2 linked regions of the Cricetulus griseus genome follow. The protein of the gene in region 2 binds, or shares a complex with, the protein of the main gene of each other region. Links are inferred from orthologs where the notes say so. Each region holds a gene or a part of one and is shown on either strand. Other genes may lie near its edges.

What was found.
Region 1: the proteins of Mep1a (region 2) and Fetub are in contact, whole or in part, in a cryo-EM structure (PDB 7UAI), measured with the Homo sapiens proteins. The link is inferred for Cricetulus griseus from reciprocal best matches to the Homo sapiens genes MEP1A and FETUB. Residues at the interface, in NP_005579.2 of Homo sapiens: Asp126, Gly127, Cys128, Trp129, Ser130, Glu131, Val132, Gln145, Gly146, Cys147, Tyr149, Ile152, His155, Glu156, His159, Tyr164, His165, Gln167, Ser168, Leu184, Gly186, Tyr187, His189, Asn190, Asp192, Tyr194, Tyr214, Gln215, Phe217, Ser218; in NP_001362516.1 of Homo sapiens: Phe109, Phe110, Lys144, Lys145, Tyr148, Met149, Thr150, Cys151, Pro152, Asp153, Cys154, Pro155, Ser156, Ser157, Ile158, Ser196, Ser197, Gln198, Trp199, Val200, Val201, Gly202, Tyr205, Phe206, Thr242, His245, Trp246, Phe249, Val250, Ser251.

What each region holds. Positions count from the first base shown.
Region 1 is NC_048597.1:65,921,037-65,924,628, forward strand, and holds the end of Fetub (fetuin-B), read right to left. Parts: intron 2,457-3,592; coding exon 2,352-2,456; intron 1,057-2,351; coding exon 679-1,056; downstream 1-678. UniProt on the Homo sapiens protein: Protease inhibitor required for egg fertilization.
Region 2 is NW_023276807.1:29,813,563-29,817,385, forward strand, and holds part of Mep1a (meprin A subunit alpha), read right to left. Parts: intron 3,361-3,823; coding exon 3,285-3,360; intron 287-3,284; coding exon 169-286; intron 1-168.

The sequences.
Region 1 (3,592 bases), on a different chromosome or scaffold from region 2:
TTAATCCCAGCACTCAGGAGGTAGAGGCATGCGGACTTCTGTGAGTTCGAGGCCAGCCTGGTCTCCAGAGCGAGTGCCAGGATAGGCTCCAAAGCTACACAGAGAAACCCTGTCTCGAAAAACAAAAAAAAAAAAAAAAAAAAAAAAAAAGTTTTAAAAAGAAAGCTGGAGGGTATCTAAAGTACCTCATCTAACAACATTGCCCTTTTATCATTAAAAATAAAATAAAAACAACCCAGACAAAAAGTTACCAGAAACTGAAATCATAGTCACAAGCTATATACAAAGAGCATTTAGGAGAGCAGTGCTCCATGTGTTACAATAGACCGGTTAAGTGAAATCATCTAGTGATATTACAGCTATTCTGGCTTATGTGTATCATGTCGGTTCTGCATGAGTAAAGATCTTTAAAAGATTAAAATAGGGAGAAACCAAAAGGCAGTTGGAGTCTGAGCAGTTTGTACAGGATACCCCCCAGCATACAGAACAAGACCAGTGTGGCCCAGAGTGGGGATTTAGTCTCATTTCCATTTCCAGTCACACACTGAGATCAAGATGCAAATAGGAGGGTTCACTTTATTAGCCTTTCTACATTTGATCGTCTGTCTCCTTCCCATTCCCACCACCTCTCATCTGGTGCAGGGGACCACATCTTATGGGAAGCCCTGTTTGTGATTCTCAGGGTGGGAGGATAAGAGGGTTGGTTCCCTCTGCTGGCCCGGGGCACTCGGTGGAGCGCCGTTCCGTTCCCGGGAATGGCAGCACCACCAGCTTCTTTTCCTCGGGCCCCAGGTAGAGGAAGGAAACATCCAGCGTGTCCCCCTGGGGATTCGTGGTTAGATCCAGCTGCACGGGAAAGGCTTCCACGGGACTCTTTTCCTTGGAGTCTTCGGGCTTCTCAACATCCAGGTCAGGCAGGTGCTGAACGGATCCTCTTGGAGCAGTTTTGGAGGGGGAGTTGGTGGGGGCGGTGTTTTTCTGAGGGGCCTCGTCCGCCGTGGGGAGTTTCTTAGACTCCTGGGTAGCAGCAGTGTTATCATCTCCAGGAACCTGAGCCTGAAACAACAGTGTTTTCAAATTCGGAATTCTACAGGGAATGCCAGCTCCAGGCAAAGCAGTTTTGTGGCTGCGCATTTGTAATGAGGTCTTAGACGTGGATAGCCTAGACTGGAAATCTTCCTCCCTTGCCTCAAGTCTTCTGAGTGCTGGGATTACAGGTTCTGGATGCTTACAGAAACCAGCTACAGCCGCAGCGGTTCTCAAGCTTCCTAATGCTGAGACCCTTTCCTTAATACAGTTTGTCATGTGTGGTGAACCCTGACCATAAAATTACTTTCATTGCTACTTCATAACTGCAATTTTGCTACTGATATGAATCATTCTGCAGATATCTGTTTGCTGATGGTCTTAGACCACCCCCATGAAAAGGTCATTCATCACCACCACCACCCCTCAGGGCCAAGGGGTCATGACCAACAGTTTGAGAAGCTACAGGGCTGGGCCTCCTAATACAAAGATTCATGAAAAAACACGTTAAGTGGCCAAGTGGAACCAAGGCCTGCAGAAACTGCTGTTTCCTTTCAGAGCAGTGGTTCAGAGGGGCTTAAGGATTTATTCAGATTCCCCTTTACTCCCAGGTGTGGCAGCAAATGGCCTCTTTTATTGTTTGTTTTGTGCCAGTCCTGGTATGACACCCTTCATCCCAGTCCTCTCTAAGGTGGGTCCACCTTAGGAATCAGAACCAGCAGGCGATGAGGGTAGCAAGACCCAGACACAGAAGGTGGGTGCCTGTGGCCACACAGCTTGTAGGGGCAGAGCAGGGATGAAGGCCAGGCAGCCTGACTGGTCGGATCAGGCTACCCCATAATAAATACTAGGGATTGGACGTTTTCATGGAAGTGAGCCTCCCTGAGATGAGAGAGGTAGCTCTGAGATACTGAATTTAGCACCTTGAAGGCTTGAGCTAGGCAAGTTTGTAGTTCACTGTTTCTGAGTGTTTTCCTTTATTCTACAGGGCCACACTGTGACTAAAATAGCAGGATAATCTTCTCTCTTTTAGGTATGGGCTTAGATGGCCTAAGTAAAGTGACCCTGGATCTTGAGAAAACCAAAAGTAGGTGGGGAATAGGCCCCTAGAGATAGATGGTCTGATTCCATTGGAAATCACGGGGTTAGGATGAGAGGCTCAATTGGGGAAAGCCACACTCCTGCAAGCCCAGTGGCCTGAGTCCCAGGCCCCAGAACCCACGTGAAGGTGAAGGAGAGAACAAACCACCAAGTTGCCATGTGCTCATATACTACATTTGCAAACACACACTAATAATACTATTTAAAAAAAGAGAGATAAATACCTGAGATTCGAAAAACTCACAAGTCACAGAGACACTCTTTTTTCGAATCAGAGCTGGTACTTGAACTGATCCTTGAACCATAGAACCATGGCAAAAGCCGACAGGCTAAAAGAAAGACATGTGAGTATTAAGTCACCGGTGAGCAGAGCCCCTGCTTTCTGCTGTGTAGACACACAGCTGCACCACGTTTTCCTGCTCCTGCCTTGAAAGAGGGCATGACTCAGCCAGTTCCCTCTGAATTACCTAAAAACAACCAGGTGCAGCTTGGGAACAGTGGTTTTTTACGAAGTTCTTCCTGTGCCTACACCTTGCTCACTGCCTGGCCCTGGGTCTGTCATTATGCACTGTCCATTGCCTGGGTCTGCTATTGGCTCAATTAGGAAGGTTGGTTGTTTCCTCTTTACAGGAACCCTTAATGTGCTCCAAATGAAGTTTTGTCTTCTCAGGCAAAAACACTCTCAGCTCCTTCAGTTTCTGTCTATTTGAAAATAAAACTACTTTTAGAAAATGATAAAGGTAAAGCCGGGTGGTGGTGTCACACACCTTTAATCCCAGCACTCAGGAGGCAGAGGCAGGCAGATCTTTGTGAGTTCAAGGCCAGCTTGGTTTACAGAGCTACACAGAAAAACCCTGTCTCAAAAAAAATAAAGATAATAAATTATTTAGAACTACATAAATAAAGAGCCACGACCTGTAACTCCATAAATGGTTCTCATTGCCTGCAAACCTTTGACATTTTCTTCTAATCTTTTCCCTACTCATGCATATTTTTCTTCTAAGCAGTTAGATCATATTACATATGATATTTTATAACTATTTTGTCACTGAGCAATATATTATAAAAATCTTTGTATGGCACTGGACAATCTTCTATGTTTTTCTTTGTTGTTGTTGTTTGTTTTGATGATTATCTTTATGATGGCTATGGCTACCTAGTATTTCTCTTCATTTAATAAAGTCTCTTGTCAAACAACTAGATTTAATGTAATTTTTTTAAACATTGAAACTATTTTTTTCATGTATCTCTAGTTTTTTCCTTAGAGTAAATCTTTATGTGGCAGTTTGAATGAGAATGTCTCCTATATGCTTATCTATTTGAATCCTTGGGCCCCAGTTGGTGGAACTCTTTGGGAAGGATTGGGAGGTGTGCCACTGAGGGTGGACTATGAGGTTTCAAACACCTAGACCATTTCCAGTTAGTTCTGTCTGCCTCCTACTTGTGGATCAAGATGCAAGCTCTT
Region 2 (3,823 bases):
TGCAAGAATGAAGACAGAGGCTACAGGGATGGCTTGGAAGCTAAGAGAGCAGCAGAAGGTGTGATTTTGCTTTATTCCTATCATTTATTCAGCTTTCAAAATAGAAGTGTGACAGTTCACAAACCGAAGGATACATTCTTTTCATGCTTTATAACATTCCATACTAACCCAGAAAATTGCTGGAAGATGATGTACGAACTCTCTCCTTCATAGGGCTTGAAATCCACACAGGACCTGAGGCGAAACATCTCAAAGGCATTGAGGATGGCTCCTTTGGCATTCAGATCTGTAAAACATTGACAGGCATTGTTGAGAGTCTGGATAACAGACACAGCTTATAGTTTATAGAAGGCTGTACCATGGATATGAAATACACTGAGGTTTCAAGAAGAGTTTTTTCTTTTCTCTTTTTTTTTCTTTTGGGCAATAACTCAATTCCTTGGAAACAAAATTTGCAGTTAGTTGCATACACAGTGCTGGTTCATAATTTAGATCATCAACACAAATGGGACTGCAGGGTAGTAGCTCATGCATGTGTACAAAGCTGAGCTAAACCATAGAACAACATCTTCCTTTTTCTCCTTTTTTTCTTCTTTCCTTCAGTGCTTTTCCTGAGAAGAGTCACGTGGCAAAGTAGGAAACAGATATGGGTTTCAAGTCACTCTGGCTTTTGTATGTGTGGGTGCAGTACCTTGGATAGAAGATATAGAAATAGTGGTCCTACCCACTCACTAAAATAACATCTTCCCAGGCTGGGGATGCAGCTCAGCTGGTAGAGAGCTTGCCTAGCTTGCTTCAGGTCTTGAGTGCATCCTTATGACCGTGTAAACAAGGCATACTGGTTTATGCCTATACTCTCAGCACTTGGGAGGAGGAGGCAGAAGGATCAGGAGTTCAAGGCCAATGTGGGCTAAGTAAGGCCCATTGTTTTTTTTTTTTTTTTTAAATTCCTCTTAGACGGAGGAGAGAGATGTGTGAATATTCTTGAAGCAAAGAAACAACATGGGGTGTCACCTTTTTCCCCAGTGAGAGCAGTAGGAAGTAGTAAGACCAACCAGCCAGCACCATGCAAGTACAGTTCTACCCATGGCAAGGATAGGTGGGAAAGGAGTGAACTCCCAGAGAATTGAGATTATATTTTACTTCATTTGCATTCTTTTTCCCTACCATCAACTCACTGGAGGTAGAGAGCTTAATTAAAAATTAATCCAAGTCATAGAAAATGAAATCCTTGGGTTTGCACATTTCATTTTATGCTTTAACTAAAAAAAATATAATCCTTGGAATTCTGCCAAATGATTACATCATGGTTCTCATTTCTTAAAGTACCAGGTTGGAGAGTCATAAAGTAATAGCAACATCATTACGGAAATAGTCCTTAACTGGGCAGGTCTGTTCACATGTATTATCTCAGCACTTGTGAGAACTGATTTCAGTTCAAGGCCAACCTCAGCTGCAGAGTAAGATTTTGTCAGAGAGAAGGGAGGGTAGGGAAGATGAGGGGAGAGAGGGAGGGAGGAAGGGAGTCCTTAGTGTCCTCGTTGATAATAGTTGACTGTAAAATTCATGGGATTATTTTTGAACACTATATTATTTCCATTGCACTAAAGCATGTATTGGAGAAAGGAGTTTCTCAATAAACGGCACTGGACAACCTGGGTAGCCACATTGCTTCCAGGAGACAGCTTAGGGGAATCAATTCAACACATCTGTATAGATTTTTGGCTGAGAACCCCAGAGCAAGATCCTCAAAAGCAAAAACTATATGTGATATTGTAACAAACTAAGAAGCTTCCACACAGCCAAGAAGTCAAGTCAAGAGAGCAAAGAATTAGCCTAAAAACTGTCACACTATTTATCTGGCACAGAACCAATATCTAGAATATGTTAAAAAAAATAAAACAGTAACGTCGGACTGAAAGCATTTTGTACTATGATTTAGCTACAAGCCTAGGAGGGCCAGCAAGTGGGATGTGGGGTTTGAATGAGAATGGTCTCCATAGGCAAATGTGTTTGAATGCTTATTTCCCAGTTAGGGGTACTATTTGGGAAGGATTAGGAGGTGTGGCCTTGTTGGAGGAGGTGTGCCACCTGGTTGGGGAGCTTTGAGATTTCAAAAGCCCACTCCTGGCCCAGTGTCACTCTTTCTACCTCCTGCCTGAGGATCAGGATATAAGTTCCTACCTATTGCTCCTCTGCCATGCCTGCCTGTCTGTTGCAAATGATGCAACCTTGGCCTGGCTTCCCCTGTCCCATCTCATCTTCTCTATCAATGAAGAGTAGGTTTTGCAGACAAGGTGTCATTGTGGTTCTTATTGGAGTGTCACTTGAGGATCAGCCAGTACCTATTCATTGCATCTAATAGTCATTTATTTACTACCAATTAATCAGTGACTAAAACACAAAGTATACAGATCTTTATCTTAAGAGAAAGGAGAAAGGAGAAAGTCAAAATTATTAATGTTGAGAAAAAGGGACTTGAACATGGATAATATTTGCTTTCTATTTTTCCAAAACATGCTATATTCCTCTCACAACAAAGAAGAGAAGAAATCGATACGCTGGAAATAGTATCCTCAATCTGTACTCAGCTCAGCCTTTGTACCAATGAAGCACAAAATTTTACCACTATGGTGTCAAATTTTATCTCACAGTTTTGTTCTTTGTGTTGTTCCTGATTATACTAACATTTTAACATGTGCAGTAATATCTGACTGTGTGTGTGTGTGTGTGTGTGTGTGTGTGTGTGTGTGTGTGTGCACGTGTGCGAGAGAGAGACAGAGAGAGAGAGAGAGAGAGAGCATTCATACATGCACATGTACGAATGTGCATGTTTGTGTTGAGGCAGGTACACATGTACAAGTTTGAGCATATGGAAGTCAGGAGTCAATTGTGGGTGTTGTTCCTCAGGGGCAGGTCAGTTTATTTGAGGCAGGGTCTCTCCTCCTGGAGTTCACGAAGGAGGCTGGGCTGGGCCCACCCCAAGGACCCACTTGTCTCTACCTTCCAAGCACCGAGAGTACAAGCATGAGTCAGCCTGCCAGAGTTTTTACTTGGATGCTGGTGATCGAACTCAGGTCCTTGTGCTTGCAAAACAAGCACTTTGCTGACTGAGTCATCCGTCCAAACCTTGACTTGTTATTTGATTGGATAAAGAAATATCATGGCTTTCTTCCCAAGAGATAAAGAATCTTCAGGGCTCTTTATATTGGTCTGAAGTTGATGAGCAGGAGAAAAGGGAGAGAAAAGTTTACCCATTTCTAGTTAAGAAAGACTTCCATTACCCAAGTTGTCAGCCAGGATGTATGGAATGGGGAACTTCCATCTTCTTGTTGGGTCTCTCAGGGCATTTCTGGTTCTCTGTGAAAAACAAGAGAAAACATATGTTGTCCAGTTCCATCCATTCCTCTACTGGCTTCATTTTTATTTCCAGCTGGATACAATTTCACTGTACGCATGTGCCACGTCTCCCACGTGTGGAAAGGTAAACACCACAGGTTCTCTCCCACAGGTAGGACCTAGTTTCTAGCTTTTTATATGCATATCTTGGTGTTTAGGTGAAAGTGAAGATGGACAGAGGCCAGGAAACTAGAAAGGAACTGGTGAAAATACAAAATGGAGGCCTAAAGGGAGACGGGTGGGTGGGGTAAGAGAACACCAGTGATTTGAAGGAGAAAGGGGAAGGCAGGGGACGGAGGGGTTAAAACATGGATGATGATCGGGAGATGGGGAACAGCAATAGGTGGGAAGGAGAGCCAACTAAATCTAAGTAGACATGAAAAATGCCACAAGGGAAACAGCTACTTTGGAAACTGATTAAGTA